Linked DNA regions of Drosophila melanogaster. The protein of the gene in region 2 interacts with the protein of the main gene of each other region in a pairwise test. Each region holds a gene or a part of one and is shown on either strand. Other genes may lie near its edges.

What was found.
Region 1: the proteins of Spn88Ea (region 2) and Agpat4 interact in a two-hybrid assay, tested with the Drosophila melanogaster proteins (one large-scale study listed by BioGRID).

Annotation. Positions count from the first base shown.
Region 1 is NT_037436.4:16,377,157-16,385,246, reverse strand, and holds Agpat4 (1-Acylglycerol-3-phosphate O-acyltransferase 4), read left to right. Parts: upstream 1-3,676; 5' UTR 3,677-3,949; intron 3,950-4,065; exon of another isoform or gene 4,066-4,118; intron 4,119-4,604; exon of another isoform or gene 4,605-4,609; 5' UTR 4,610-4,610; coding exon 4,611-4,776; intron 4,777-5,011; coding exon 5,012-5,547; intron 5,548-5,619; coding exon 5,620-5,977; intron 5,978-6,037; coding exon 6,038-6,120; 3' UTR 6,121-6,273; downstream 6,274-8,090. Other genes in the region: Agpat3 (1-Acylglycerol-3-phosphate O-acyltransferase 3), read left to right, coding at 1,134-1,320, 1,381-1,916, 2,508-2,865, 3,090-3,175; roq (roquin), read left to right, coding at 8,010-8,090.
Region 2 is NT_033777.3:15,201,023-15,209,824, reverse strand, and holds Spn88Ea (serpin 88Ea), read left to right. Parts: upstream 1-3,377; 5' UTR 3,378-3,476; intron 3,477-5,274; exon of another isoform or gene 5,275-5,277; 5' UTR 5,278-5,288; coding exon 5,289-6,275; intron 6,276-6,335; coding exon 6,336-6,632; 3' UTR 6,633-6,756; downstream 6,757-8,802. Other genes in the region: Mau2 sister chromatid cohesion factor, read right to left, coding at 1-525; Spn88Eb (serpin 88Eb), read left to right, coding at 1,721-2,701, 2,764-3,063; CG42542 (uncharacterized protein), read right to left, coding at 7,380-7,559, 7,622-7,801, 8,600-8,802. UniProt on the Drosophila melanogaster protein: Serine protease inhibitor with activity toward trypsin. Negatively regulates the Toll signaling pathway and suppresses the expression of the antifungal peptide drosomycin.

The sequences.
Region 1 (8,090 bases), on a different chromosome or scaffold from region 2:
GGATTTAAATCCCATTATCATAGGAAGAAATAAGAAATTTAAAAAAAGCAGTGCTTGTCAACTGAATGCATTCATTTCTATTACAAAAACGTAGTGCGTTCCATTGTGCATGTAAATATATGCAGTCCCAGTTTTATATTACGTGTCAAAACAAAAGATTGACCTTTATCATTGGTCGTTTTACAACCATTGTTTATAACTTTGTAGAAATACAAATAAAAACTTCTTTGATAAACTTTATCCGCTGACATGTTTTAAATCATAATTTAAGTAAATCATGATCATTTAAATAATAATCTCAATATATAATACCTATTACTTTAGTTTATTTAAAATCCGAAAATCGTTTCGAAACTTATTTAAATTTGCTTAAATTGAAATATCTAAAATATCCGAAGCCAAGTATTATTTAATAAGAAATATGAATAGCTAAACGCCTTAATGAAATGATTTAATTAGTTTAAAGTTTTAAAGTTGTCGTTTTTACTCATAATTAAAACGGTCGTAAAACTTTAGTACTTTTTTAAAACATCTCCATGTACAAAATGTAAAAAATGACACCTAACTGTCATCAATTTTTTGCTAAACTGTTTGCACACTTTGGTCCCCATAAACCCACTCATTCTAAAGATTATTGACTTTCGCGAGCTTCCACTGTGAAGTGCGAGTATCTGCCCCATAATGACTATCCGTCGGACAGGCGGACTTTGTCCACAGCGGCTGTAGCTATTTCCAACGGAGAAGTCATCGATTGGCCAAGGCTGATTAGATTCCTCCTCCGGCAGCGGCCTTAGCAAAAGCTATAGCCTATAGGGCTATGGGCTATAGCTCCCGCTGATATCTGGCGAATATCTCTGCCGTGCGGCGGTTGCCCCAGTCCATTGCCAGCTGGTGGTGCAGGTGGTTGCCTTCCCGGATTTCACGATTTCTTTTAACTTGGCCGCGTGCTTTTAATTGAAGAAAACGCAGCTCTTGTGTGAGTGCGGGACCTTGTGTAGTGGTCATAAACTAGGTGTTCCACCGTTGGGACCATAAAGTGCGGGTTTACGAGCACTACCGGGAGAACAACCTACAATTAAAGTAGTGATTACGTAAAGACAGCCGTTTTATTGGTTAAACATCGCTATTTGCAGATCAAAATGGGTTCCCTGGAGAAGCTGAAACAATTGAGACTGATACACCTGTGCATCGCGCTCACCTTCTTTACCAGCGGGCTGTGCATCAACTTTATCCAGCTGCTGATGCACGTCTTTATCAAGCCCATAGACAAGCGACTCTTCCGCAAGTTGATGTACTATGCCTGCTATTCGCTTTACTCCCGTGAGTATATCCTGACCAGTTCCGATTCGAAGTAGAAACATAATACCTCCAATCCCTTAGAACTTATCTTCGTGTCCGATTGGTATGCCGGCAGCAAGATGACTGTCTACATGGACAAGGAGGACTTCGAGAAGCATGCCGGCAAGGAACACGTCCTTCTGATCATGAACCATAAATACGAGATCGATTGGCTCAACGGCTGGATGATCTGCGAAAAGTTGGGCGTGCTGGGCAACTGCAAGGCCTATGCGAAGAAGGCAATCCGCTACGTGCCCATCATCGGCTGGGGCTGGTGGCTGGCCGAGTTCGTCTTCCTCAATCGAAACTTCGACCAGGACAAGACCATCATCACCGAACAGCTCAAGGTGGTCTTCTCCTATCCCGATCCCACCTGGCTTTTGCTCAACGCCGAGGGCACTCGCTTCACTCCCGCCAAGCACGAGGCATCCGTAAAATTCGCCCAGGAGAGGGGCATGACGGTGCTGAAGCACCATTTGATCCCGCGCACCAAGGGATTCACCGCCAGCTTGGCACCCATCCGCGGTCTCTGTCCGGTAATCTACGACATTAATCTAGCGTACAGGCCCACAGATAAGGTAATTATAACGGCAAACTTCAAGCACTTCATTTAAGTGCTTTAGTTATATAATACTGTATTTTATTGTGCCATACATTTAATGCAGAATTCTGCATGGCAAAGCTTCTCATGTATATTTTTGATAAGGCTAATCAGCCTGTTCGACAATACCTGTCTGATTGCTTTGGTCTAATCAAATTTCTTTTCGTTTAATCCGATTATTTTGCTCATTTACTTCACTGCCTCTTTTAAGAGTCACGATTTCTTAAGATCGATGCTCTTAAAGATACCGATTAGAATGAGCAAACATTTCAAGGTTAATCAAGTGGTAATTTTTATAACTTATTTTCCTTATTTTGGTTTATTTTCCTTACCTTTGACGTGTCATCAGTATTATTAGCACTTTAGCCAGCATAGCAACCTTAATTTTTTAACTGAGTAATTTGGCGTTCTAATGATAAGTGCATAGAATTTAGCAAATTGCAAATTTATTATGGTTTTAAATTAAACTCGCAGAAGTGAGTTATAAAAGATGCTTATAAAGATACTACAGTTTTAGCTACTAAAAGGCTATTTACCGGACTTAATTAACTTGCAATTGAACTTTCAGACCCCCGCCACAATGCTGAGTTTGCTGCATGGAAAGAGCGTGGAACCGCACCTGCTGATGAGGCGTATTCCACTGGAACAGGTTCCGGAGGATGAGAAGGAGGCGGCCGCCTGGCTGCAGAACCTGTTCGTGGAGAAGGACAAGATCATCGATAGCTTCCTGGAGACGGGCAGCTTCTTTAAGACGTCCGGCATAAAGGAGGTTCCGGCATATGTGAATAAACGCCGGCTGTGCTCACTCGTGAACTTTGTCTGCTGGGCGGTATTCTCTCTGTCCTGCATTTTCTACTACGTGATCACATCCCTGCTGGCGGCCAACTGGACGGCCTTTATCACCGCACTTTCCGTCCTGGGACTTTGTAAGTTTGGGGTTCGATCTTTAAGGAGGATGGCACTTTAGACGGCATTAGCCGTTCATTCTTTAAGTTTTAAGAACTTTTTGGAGTGTTAAATGCTAAAGTTCATATATAATGACGTCTGCATGGTTATAACAATAATATAAGCCGCGTTCTAATGTGTTCCTACTCCCTCCAAAACCTTAACTTTTGTAAATCTTATTAATATTCTTTTTTTCTTGTTACAGTTTACTGGCTCATGGGTCAGGCCATCAACAAGACGCAGATCAGCAAGGCATCTAATTATGGATCCTCCAAGTCGGTCGCAAAGTAACTTTCGAATTCGCATTTAGTTTCGATTGTCGTCGAACTCAATTATCTACAAATGACTTTGTAAAAGGCAGTCCTCTCACAAATCTCTCTGCTAAATGGATCAATTCGTGATTCCTATCCGGACGATTTAAAGTGTTTTGCATGTTTTTCTTGTCTAAGTTTATAGTTACGAAGTAACTCCCGCACACTGGAGCCATCAATTTGCGTACGTAGTTGGTAGTTGTACACCTAAGTGGAAATTTAATTGTTTGATCAATTGTATTTTGGCGAGCATTGCAATAATTAAATTAAACAGAACGTGAGAGCGTGAGTTTGTTGTTGTTGTTTTTTGATAAGGCGTAAGGTAAGCAGTGCGCTGATAAGGGCTGCTGATAAGTGTGGACATGCAAGCAGTGCACCTAAAGAGTGACCTTAACACAAAATACCAACAGTATTTCTAAACTGGATACTTGAAAATTACACACATACGTGTGTAAAATAAATGTAAAATTTCGAATACATTGTTTTTGAGATTCCCAGAAATGCTTTCAAAAGTTACCTTTTGAACAGGAAGGAAATGAGCAATAAGCAAAGCATATTATCCAAATATTTGTGTTTATCAGCATTCTTCCTACACGTTCGTTTCTTTATCAGTTGTAACGATCAGAAGCAGCACACGTTCCGTTAGTTCGACTGCTTGCCCTTGGCTATATGATCAATACAACCACACGCCAAGCATAAAATCGCCTTTATTCGCCGATAAGCAGTGTCGCCCATTCCAATTGACTGATAACAGGTGATTAAAAGTGTTAGTTGTGGGTTTCTGGGTTGTACTATCGACGAGATCCATATCACTAGGGGCTCGGGCCGCCTAGAAGAGTCACTTTCATTCAGTCGAATTCTACTGGTTGGTAGAACAAGTTGCAACTTCCTGGTCTCTAATTGTTAAGATTCCGCTTAGATAGGTGAGTGAGTGTGTGTGTAAATGAGAAAGTGGACTGTCGCAAAGTGAAACTGAAACGTGTTGAGTTCAAAAACTAGTTGTACTTATGGCATTGTCATTATCATTGCTTCTACCAAATTTGATAAAACAAAATGAGGATTGTACAGCTTAGTTCGATTTTCCTCGTCGAACTATGCAATAAAAAATATCTTAGTTAATTATGAAATGCGTTGTACTGTTTTCCCGATCCAACGATAAGAATTCAAATTACTAGTGTCTACTGTACCAATACCGTGTGTTGCGCGTGGGTGTGTGTGCGTTTACGGTACTATAATTTAAGCATTTCAATTTTCATGACACATTGGGAGCAAAGTTTGAGTACTGGCCATATAATAAAATGTCGATATCGCGCGCTGGACATATTTATGAACTGCATTGCAGACATGACTTTCGATTACGTAAACGTTTCTCCAACGGACTGAATTTATTGAGTTGCGTCTATTCTTAGCCTAGGATGTCGCATCTCCGGGGTTTGGGGCGACTGCTGATCGCCGTGACCTTCTTCACATGCGGATTCTTCGTCAACATTGGCCAGCTCCTGCTGATTCTCCTCGTGAGGCCCTTCGATAAGAAGCTATCCCGCAGTCTGGCCTACTACCTGCACTACTCCTTCTATTGCAGTAAGTAACCATCATATTAATATAGATTATCATATCATTATGAGTATAAACGTTTCACATTTCATTCACATTAAGTATAGTGTAGTTTTCAGCACACTTCCTGTTTTCCTGATTAGATTAGGTATATGCAAGGTCTTCTTTTGTATAAATCACTTAGTTTTTACATTTGATGATTAAATGAAATAACGTAAAAGTGGTACTTTTTGATAATTTAAAAACTATCCTCACACTTTAGTCCTTGTCTGTGTGGCGGAATGGTATGCGGGCAGCAAGCTGAGGGTGTACATCGATCCCCAGGACGAGCAGAAGTTCTTCGGCAAGGAGCATGGACTGCTCCTGATGAACCACACGTACGAGATCGACTGGCTGACCGCCTGGATGATCACCGACAAGCTGGGCAATCTGGGAGGCACCAAGGCGTATGCCAAGAAGATGCTGCGCTATGTTCCGGTCCTGGGATGGGTCTGGTGGATGGCCGAGTTCATCTTCCTTGACCGCAACTTCGAGAAGGACAAGGTGGTGATCAAGACGCAGCTGAAGGAGGTCTTCTCCTATCCGGATCCCGTGTGGCTACTGCTGAACGCGGAGGGCACCCGTTTCACACCCGCCAAACACGAGCTGTCAGTCAAGTTCGCCGAGGAGCGAGGTCTTCCCCTCCTCAAGCACCATCTGATTCCGCGCACTAAGGGATTCACGACCAGTCTGCCCACCATGCGTGGCATCTGTCCTGCCATCTACGACATCAATCTGGCCTTCAAGAAGAATGCCGAGGTGAGAACTTAAGATCTCATATATATGTATATATATTTTAAATTACATTTTCGAACTTGAATTAACTTACAGCCAAAGCCCACCATGCTGTCCCAGTTGAACGGAGAGCCCGTGGAACCGTACATGTACATTCGCCGAGTGCCACTGGACGTGGTTCCCGATGACGAGAAGGAGGCCGCCGCCTGGATGCAGGACTTCTTTGCGGAAAAGGACAAGATCATCGACAGCTTCCACGAGACCGGCAGCTTCTTTAAGAATTCCGGAGTCAAGGAGGTGCCCGAGAAAATCTACAAGCCGCGCCTGAGCACGCTCCTCAACTTCTTGGGCTGGGCCACCTTTGCCGTCCTGTGCATTCTGCACTACTTGGTCACCTCGCTGGTTGCCGGCAACTGGTTTGGCTTCATCACGGTTCTTTCCATTTTGGGAGGATGTAAGTTGAGAAATTCTAGTTTCGAGGATATGTGCTTAACTTTACAACTTGTACTTCCAGTCTATAGCCTCATGGAATACGCTGTGAATGCTTCGAAGATCAGCAAAGCCTCTGCGTATGGAGCAGCTGCTGCCAAGAAATAGATTTTCATACCTGAGTTTTATAAACTCTGCAACAGTTTTGGAATATACGACCTATGGACTAATAACTCAACTGCACTGACCATAGAAATATTATGTACATTGAATATGTACGATAAACCATTGTAGTTAACTGAATAAAATAACATTTTATGCGAAATTCACTTACAGGAACTAAATGATTCTTAGAGGCAAATATTTAATATGTGTTTGTACATCCAATCGAAAAAATTTCTCACAAATTCACTTACAAGAACTAAAAGTTTCTTTGAGGCAAATATTTAATGTGTTTGTACATTAAATCGAAAAGATTTCTCAGTCTTCTACCACTTATATAAACGTCGTAGTTACAAAGTTTAAACTTCTTGTACTTTTGTTTTTCTAATTAGAACATGTGTTGTATATTTTAGCCATTTATACAATAAATGCTATAAAATTAGGTTATCGAATTTCAAATATAGATAGTGATGTCCAAAACGATAACTGCTTATCGCAATCAGCTGAGAGCGCCTAGTGCGACCCTTCGTGTAAGCAGTGCAGCAAGACATTCAACGTTTTCAGCCAGCTGGATTCAGTATTCCGCCGCTCGTCACCTGCGGTCATACTGATTGCAACTTCCCAAATTTCTTACAATAATCCAATGAAAATTAAAAAACATATTTTCGTACCTTTAATGCAATAATATGTGCATTTTGAAGGTGAGTCAGTGCAGCACCAGTGCCAAAAATTGCATTAAACCAAGTTTGTGCGAAATCCACGAAGCAGAGTGAAAAGTGAAACGTAACGAAAAAAACGTTGAGAGAGATTTTCGTGTAGTTCATTGTTTTTCCTGGGGGATTACTTGGTTTCAAGGACCTTTCACTGGCCTGTGGCCCTACTTTTCGAAGGTGCCATTCCTTGGGTTGGCACAACCTATAGGATACTGCCCGAAATTCCCTTTGTTCGCGTCTCGAAAGAAAGCGGATGCTTGATGACGTTGAAAGCGAGTTACGTTTGTGTCCCCCATAAAGGCAGTTATGCGTGTGTGTGTGAGTGGCTCTCTCTCTCTGGGGTCTCAAAAGGAATATTAGCGATCCTTTGAGCACTTGAAGATCCGAAAAAGTTCTCCAGGAAGTGCAACTGGGGTATAAAAATATATAGTTGCTATATATACATACAGATATACTTGCATGCGTGTACAAATGCCCTCGCACACAAACAGCAGCAGACGAGTGTGCGTGTGTGTCTGTGTGGGGGGAGCACGCGAGTGTGTGCGTGTGGCGACAGCTGACGTTGGGGGTAAGGCAAGAAGAAGAAAAAGACGAAAGCGAAACTTTTTACTGTGCCACTTTTGATCGTTGTAAAAGGAAAATAAGACTATCTTGAGTCACGTCACTTTCATCGTTACATCAATTCGATAATAACGAGCATATTTTATGGGATATTAGATCTTTACACGATTTACCCTTTTATAGATCGATAATTTAAGTATTTATAGGTGGGCTCTATACAGATCTTATTGTGATAGATTCCATTAAGACTTATAGATGTAGGCTGCCACAAGTCTGTTTCAAATATTATACTTCATTCTCAGAAAAAACTAATGTTTTCCATAAAGTTAAATCTGATAAGGATATACATAAATTGAATTACCCATAGAGCATATGTGTGAACATTTGTAGCATGATTTCTTTACCCAAGATAAGAAACATTACTCATTCATGCTATGAAATTTTAAAGGCAGTATTACTTCCGCCATTCCTACAATATATATGAATAGAATATGTTTAACAAGCCTGATTCGGGTAATTTGTTCCGATTTCAATATCACCAAGATTCCATTAAAATAAGATTTTCCTTACCTTTTGGCTTATTTTATTTTAATTGGTATTTTTATGTAATTTACGCACAGCATGCCGATTCAGGCTCCCTCATGGACAGATTTTCTGAACTGTCCCATCTGCTGCAATGAATTCGCGGCCAGCCAGCGATGT
Region 2 (8,802 bases):
TTTCAGGTACGTGGCGCTCGCCTCGTCGGCACTTTCCGCGCCCACGGCCAGCAGTTCGGAGGCCAGCGAGTACTCGCGATCGCTGGCATGTATTTGGGCCAGCTGGAGCAGCAGCTTGCAGTGCCAATAGACGTTGTTTTGCGACAGTTCCACGGCCCGCCGGAGCATCGCCTTGGCCTGATGCGAGTTTCTGTCCGTCTGCAGATGCAGTTGGGCCAGCAGCGAGGCGGTGTCGAACTTAACGTCGAAATTGGGCAGCGGTTCGGATATGCTCCACGCCTTCTCCAAATGCTGGCGCGCCAGATCGATGTTCTTAGTGTAGGCCATCAGGATCTGGCCCATCTGCAAATGTGTCCGCGCCTCGACCTTCGAGGGCGGCATAAATGTGAACAGGGCTTGAAGACACTGGATGCATTTCTTGATGTTCGGCGGCTGCGAGGTGCGGAAGTACTCCGCCAGGCCAAGGAGCGATATGTAGCAGGCGTCCTGGGACGCCGCCGTCGACGTGCTCGTCGATGCACTCATTTCGGTGAGCGGGTGCCAAATTCGGTTTGTTTATCGCGTAATTTTGTTGTCAATTCGCGACTATTCAATCACGGTGGTGGCTGCCAGTGTTGTCAAGTGCGGAATTCTAGTGGTGAACCAAGCTTTAGCGGTTATCGTTTAGCAGTCACAGTGGCAGTCACTCTTTTTCAGTACCGCGAATGGTCCCGTTCAGCAGAACATAAAACTTGAAAAAAGCTATCGCTTAAAAACAAAACTGAGTAGATAATATATATTTCTGTACGAATCAAAAATTATTTCTTTTTGCAGTAATCAACTAAATAAATTTAATAAATATAGAAAAATGAGATAATATTATTTAAACATGGTAAATTTAGCAGAACTCCAATTAGGAAACCAATTCTTACTTTAAATCACTGTTTAGAAAAACCGTCTTATTTCAGTGACGGAACAGTACGTTATCAATTTAAATTCGAGGATCAGCTGCGATTTCGCCCGCTTATCGCATTATTCTCATTATTTTTAAGCCTAGCTCTGCCGTTTATTGCCACATGCATTAGTCAGTGATTGTAAGTGCAATCGGTTGGACCACCATTGTTTCCGTTTTGATTTAAGTTCTGTGCAAAATTCCGTTAAGGTAAAACCCAAGATTCTTTTAAAATAAATATTTCATACGCTTGTATCAATAACGACTATACATAATAATTTATGTTTGCAATCGATTTAAACACATACTCCGGCACATGAAAGTTTCTTATCAGTATAAATATACTATATAATATATATATATATATAAATATATATGTTATAAGAATTATGATGAATACAAGAAATACAGAATTCTAGGAAATGTGAAGAAAGAGATTTTTTTAATGGTTCTGAGAAACTTGTCTCAGTTGGGCTCGTGTCAATGTTTATATTTAAAATCCTATTGTAAAAAGCTCATTTTTAATAGTCCGACAAAATTTGGATGTGCCACAAAGTCGATTAAGGATTCCAACACTATCTCTGGCAAAATCCCACAATATACATACATATGAACAATAAACTATAATGTTATGAGGCCAAGATTATTTAATGATTCATGTTTTTTCTTTGGAAAAATTCACATTGTGAGAAATAATATCACATCCTTCACTATTTATTAGTTCTAGTTCATAAATTCTTTATAGTTCATACTTAATGAATGTCCTTAAATTTTTAGACAGTACCAACTATGCACACCTTCAGTTTGGTCCTGTTGGCCCTCCTTCCCGTAGTAACCATAGCTGCCTTGGACAAGCCGGAGCTATCATTTCTAAATGAATTCTCACAAATTTTCAAGGGAGAACGAGACTTCTCCTTAGCATTAATGAAACAGATCCGAGAGATATATCCCAGCGGCAATCTGTTCTTCTCGCCGTTCAGCACCTACAACGCCCTGCTCCTCGCCTACTTCAGTTCCTCCGAGCAGACGGAACGTGAGCTGGCCCAGGCACTGAACCTGGGATGGGCATTAAACAAACAGCAGGTCCTAGTTTCGTACACGTTGGCACAGAGGCAGGACGAATTTCGTTGGCGCCAAAGTCCCATGGAGCTCTCGTCTGCGAACAGAATTTTCGTCGACAGGACAATAAATGTTTCCAACAAATTCAACACTTTACTCTACGGGGCAACCAAAGAATTGGATTTCAAGAATGATCCGGAGACTGGCCTAAAGGAAATTAACGACTGGATAGCCGATAAGACGCACAACCAGATCCGCGACATGCTCAGCTCCGAGGAGATCACACCCCACACCATGTTGGTGCTGGCCAACGCCGCCTACATGAAGGGCCAGTGGCTCAGCCAGTTCAAGGTGGAGGAGACCGCCTTGAAGCCATTCTTCATTAACGAGCGTGAGCAGGAAATGGTTTACATGATGCACAAGACGGGCGCCTTCAAGATGACCATCGATGAGGGCTTGCAATCGCAGATCATCAAGCTGCCCTACCGCACCATATACAAGTCGAAGGAGACGCACATTTCCACCCCCGAGTCCAAATCCGATATCTCCATGATTATCATTCTGCCGAACTCCAACAAAATCAGTCTTAACCGTGTCATATCCCGGCTAAATGCCGATTCCGTTAAGAAATGGTTCGAACGGGCATTGCCGCAGAAGATCGAGTTGTCGCTGCCCAAGTTCCAGTTTGAGCAGCGCCTGGAACTGACCCCTGTAAGCTATGACCTAACTGGACCACTTGAGTCGCACTAACACGTAAGCTGTTACCTTTTCAGATCCTCAGCTTAATGGGAGTGAACACAATGTTCACGAGAAACGCCACCTTTGGAGACCTGACTGCCGATCCCATTTCCCTTGTCATCGATGACGCCCAACATCTGGCCAAGATCAAAGTGGACGAAGTGGGCAGCACTGCGGCAGCGGCCACCATCCTCTTGGTCAGCCGATCCAGCAGGCAGCCCGATCCCACCAAATTCAACTGCAACCACCCGTTCGTGTTTCTTATCTATGATGAAAAGGTAGACACGATTCTCTTTGCGGGCGTCTACAGCGATCCCAGGCAAATGCAGCACTAGAAGTGTTTTAAGACTTGTGTGTTTTTGAAAAACTTGAAGAAAAATATGCTCTATAATGCACCAACTGTTATTTTCATTTATTAATTTCGATATAAGCTAGCTTATTGAAAGGTAATACTTTTAAATTTCCATACAACTCTCAAAAGCTCATATCCAAGTCACAACATTTGTATCGCAGTTTAAGTAACAACTTTTGCACGAAACGCAAACCCGTTGAAGCAACCCACATCTTGACTTTCTGAGTGACAATCATCGGATATCGATATCCAAGCTGCGCTTTGGGTTTTAAGTACCAAGCTACTTTGGAGCACCGGACTCAGTTTATAGTTAGACGCGCTGGTGAACGGACTTGCAGTCGTTCCAAGTAATAGTTGTATATCGGTGCCACTTAAGCCTACGTTTACTCGAAGAAGGTATTTCCCAGTGATCATCCAGTTGTGTCTGTCCCAATTTGTTCAACTCCCCGGCAATTGTGACGATCATTAAGCGAACGAATCGGGTTGAAATTAAAGCGTTGTCTATTATTGTAACACTAATCAGCATGCAAATGATTGCACAATTACACATACATACGTAGATATATGTTTACGCATATAGGGATTTGAATATACATACATATGTACATATATCAGGCACGCATTTTAAATGGGCCAGTGTATTTTCGCTGTTTATAACTTTTTGCCACTATAGCCTTGATTTGATTGATCTCTGAAGTGCGATCCCATAATGACCTCCAATTTAATAGGTTTTTCACTTGATGACTTTAAAGAAAAATATTGTTTTGAGTGACACATAGCTCTGCGTTTATAAATAAAACGGGGAAAACACTGAAATCGGAATGAAAATATTTATTTAATTTTGTTGTGCAAAAATAAATAATTTTGCCTTAGTCACTCATATGACATGATTAAAAAGTAAATCGCATTTGTCCAAGAAATTTGAATTCTACTTATATTTATTTACTAAGAAATTTCAAAGGAAGTGCTTGTGTTTTTGACAAAGCAATTAATCCAAGTTCAATGCAGCTTAATTTTGGCTGACATGTCCATTTCCACCTGTCAGTCAAAAAACTGGTTGTTCAATATTTTTTGGATTCGCCCAAAAAAAACCCAGCAAAACGCACAAAAAACGACGCGCATGCGCAGAAACAGCGTTACGTCTATGGGGTAAAAAAAAAAAAATAAAAGACCCAGCCGAAAGCAATTACAAAATCGCCCATACAGGGTCAACAATGAGCATTCATACGCGTTGAAATACGTTTATGAATCATATACTATGTATATTGGTAACTGCCGGTGGTATCCGCAACCGGTTATCGAAAATGTTAATTTTGGGTTTTTTATTTTCACACAACAAAGCGCTTTTCACTGCAGTCACGCAACGGATGACTTCGTCATCGCTCAGCTGCTGAAAGCAAAACTGGAGCTATGGTCATCACAAAGCTCAAGCTCCCAAACCGATCCCCGATCCGATCCGATCTGTGGGCGCTCCTTCATGCTCCGATGGATGCATGTGGGAATGGCTGATGTATGGATACATTATGTTCGGATTGCGAATTTCGAGTGCAGAGCAGCGGAAACTTTCACTTTTTTTTAATGTCGCCTCTGCGGAGATGTTGCAACTGTCGTCTGCAAATAGCTGACCACTCCATGGACTGGAAAAAGCTTTTTGGTGAATCAGCCTAAAGCGATCTTTAACGACCTCAAATCGGTTCTATATTTTCTAAAAAGTTTCAATCACAAATCATCTAAGCTAAGTCTATAAAATATTTCGTGATTGTTTACAACAATTCTGCAGTAGTCGGTTTATGTAACTAGAAAACCCTAATGACTTGAAGTTTGGCAAACTAAGTGAATATTAAGTACGTAATTAGCTGGGACTTGCAGTTCTAATTTAACTACTCCCATAATTAGTAGTGACTTTACACAGAAATCACTTTGGGGAATTTTGTCAATATTTCTGGGAGATTCATAAATTTTTCTGGCCTGAGTGCGCTTTAAATGCTTAGTTGTCTAATAAATTAGATGAGAAATTATACCAGGATTCAATGCCGGTCACGTATTCCACACAAATCACACACTCAAAAATAAAATGGTATACAAGGTCACATATTTAGGGGTCTTGTGCTTTTCGGTTACCCATTTCAATCACATGTGCTTGCAGCCGTTAAAATAATTGCTATTTTAACTTAAATCATGTTCCAATTTTTAGCAGGCTTCCACATCATGCACATCCTCAGCATATCTCTAATGGCGGTCCTGCCGGCCATCGCCTTAGCCGGTCTCTGTGGGGTTGAGCCCGATGCGGGTTTGTTGGATCAGCGGCTGAACCTCTATAAGGGCCAACAGAACTTTGCCGTGTCCATGCTGAACGTGATTCGGCAGAGCACTCCCAATGAGAACGTCTTCTTCTCGCCGTACAGCACGTATCATGCCCTGCTCCTCGCCTATTTCGGATCCTCTGGTGACACGGAGAAGGAGTTGGCCAAGGTGCTGCATCTGGATTGGGCCGACTCGAAGGAGGTGGTGCGCAGTGCCTATATTCTGGAGAAGATGAACCGTAAGGAGCGGCAGAGCAAAATGCCTCTCGAGTTCTCCTCAGCCGATCGCATATTCTTCGCCAATGATCTGCATGTGACCGAATGCGCAAGGAATCGTCTGGCCGAGGAGGTGCAGCAGATCGACTTCAAGAGCCAGACGGAGGAGTCGCGCAAGCAAATCAACGATTGGATTGCCAAGCAGACGCACGATCAAATCCGCAATATGCTCAGTGCCGATGAAATCACTCCGCGCACTCGTTTGGTCCTGGCCAACGCCGCCTATCTGAAGGGTCAGTGGCTCAGTCAGTTCAAGACGGAGAAGACGGTGCCCATGCCCTTCTACACGTCTCCGTCGAACTACTCTCTCGTGTCCATGATGCAACAGAAGGGCACCTTCTTACTGAATGTCGACGAACAGCTCCGCGCCCACGTGCTTCAGCTGCCCTATCGCACCGTCTTTGAGTCTCAGGAGAAGGAGGACAGCTCGCCGGATGAGAACTCGGACATCTCCATGGTGCTCATCTTGCCGCCATTTAACAGTAATTCCCTCGAAGATGTGCTCTCCCGGTTGAATGCCGACAGTCTGGATGATTCGTTGAAGCAGGCAATGCCCCGCGAAATCGAAGTTTCGCTGCCCAAGTTTGAGTTTGAACAGCGCCTGGAACTTAATCCTGTAAGTTTAGACTTTTTGATTCCAAAGCTTGATTTAGTTTTGACCTGCTCCATTCCTTAGATCCTTGCCAAAATGGGAGTTAGCAAAATGTTCGATGAGTCTGTCGCTACCTTCGATGATCTGACCTCCGAGACGATTTCCATCGGTGACTCCAAGCACGTGGCCAAGATCAAGGTGGACGAGGAGGGTAGCACTGCGGCGGCGGCCACAGTCCTCTTCACCTACCGCTCGGCCAGGCCCGTGGAGCCGGCCAAGTTTGAGTGCAACCATCCGTTCCTGTTCGTCATCTACGACCGCACTTCCAGGTCGATCCTATTTACGGGCATCTATCGCGATCCCAAAACAATAAAGCAGTAAAAGATGGCGGGCTTTAAGGTGCTGCAACTTTGCAAGTAATCTAACCAAATTATTTTTCGACTGTAAAACACGATGTAAACTTTAAAAACAAACTTTAACCATAATAAATTATGCCTATAACAAGAAACCTAATGATTTTATTCATCACTCATACAGGTTCTTAAATTTAAAAGAAAGAACAAGATTTATCCCGCCCATTAAGCGCACTTTAAAATCTTTGTTTTGCTCAATTTAATTAGTTTTTCATACAAAATTCGCATAAATAATCAAATCTACAAAGTTTCATTTTGGTTGTTTCCATTAAGTAAACACGGCTACGTAAACAAATATGCGAATAAGGATCTGCGTTATGAAGGAAAGGATACAACTCAGAGGAGCGTGGGCATCGCGATGGCTCTACACGCGTATGTACAATCATCTTTAATACTTAACACGAAACCGAAACTAAACAAACAAATTAAAGCGATACTAGACAATTGGAAAACAAAAGAATTAATTGTGTGAACTAAAAATGTATGTCATGGCCGAAGCGGAAAGCACTGAAGGCACTTTTGTTTTGGATGTTTGGCAAGAAGAAAGCTACGTTAAAAACATCAACGCATTTCTAGTTTTAAACTAGTTCAACACGATCCTTGCCTGATGCTCCTCGAAGAAAAGTGGGGTTTATCAGGTAGTAACTAAAACTAAATCTTCATAATATTGTGGGGTCGTCAGCGGGCAATCTCGATTGGAGTATAAAGGCTTCGCCTAAATGTCATCCGGAGGTATGGCGACAGCGTAGATGGCGAATCCGATGAACACAATGCCACCCACAATGGTGACAGTGCGCACTGAGATTTTGGAAGCCACGAGACGACCACCAATCACAGCCAGGCCGGTGCAGATGCAGTGGCCAATAATACCGCCAGCGATAACGCCGTAAACGTCCTGCAACGGATAATAGCTTCATGTACCAAATCATTCCGGTTATTTTTATCCAAAGTGCTCACCTTGCTAGCGGCGAGAATAATGGTGGTCAGTTGGGAGCGATCGCCCCACTCGGCCAGGAACGTCATTGTGAAGGCCTGGGCCAGGATGCGCATGGTGAAGTAGGTGGCACCCCGTTTCTGTGGACGACGACGACCGCTCTCGGCGTCATTCACCAGCGCCGCGTTCACATCACGATCCAGCTGTAAAGGAAGATGGGGATTTTTAAGGATCAGTATGCGAACAGCAGACAGACAAAAAAGATTCGATGAAAATGTGCGCAAACAAAAGGATATAAGACAGCAAATTAAAAATACATGTAAATACTTTTGAACCAGAAAACTCGGATACCACCGCTTTTCCTTCTTAATAAACCAAAAATATAAACTAAAATCAAAAATCAAGAAACGATCACTTCATCATAACAACATGCAGAGAGAAAAATCGGGTGAGATGTGTGCGCTTCGAATGTAATTTAAACGAGACTAATGGGTAATAAAATACCGAGGCGACAAAACCAAATGCCAGATGACTTAGAGTTAAAAAATAATTGATGCTTGTGTTTTTCGACTGTAGTGTCACTGTTTTATGAGTGTTTTTTGTTTTTTTTTTTTGGTAAAAAGCAAGTGAAACGTATATATGATTAGCTAACAACGAAAGTTAGCGGTTGTCAGTTATATAGATTCTCATTCCGATTACAATTTCTAGAAATAAAACTGATTAAATCTATTAATATAGGTTACTCTTTTTTTAGCCTCTCACAGCACTCAGATAAATTTAGCTTAGCTCTACAACTCTTTGGAAGTCTTGAGATTTGAAGTTAATTAATCATTCTTTAATCTAAATGATATGACTTTAGGGATCATAGTCCATTCGACAATCTCCATCTAAGTGTGTAGCGTTAATACAAAAACCAAAAATTCAATCAATTCCAATTTCGAAAAACGTAATCGAATGGGAACCGGAAGCGGGACAATCGCAAATACGGTCTATGTCCTAACCCGTGCTTTGAGAGCGCCATTCACCGGTCCGGATTCTCCGTTTAGGCTGCCATTGAGACTGTGCATGCTATCGTGTCCGGCCAGCGGAGCACGTGGCTCCGAGGCGCCACCTACGGACGGGTCGGTGGGATGGCCAGCCAGCTGGACATCTACGGTGGCGGTGGAGGCGGCAATAGAGTTGGTTTGTTCGGTCTGGTTCGATG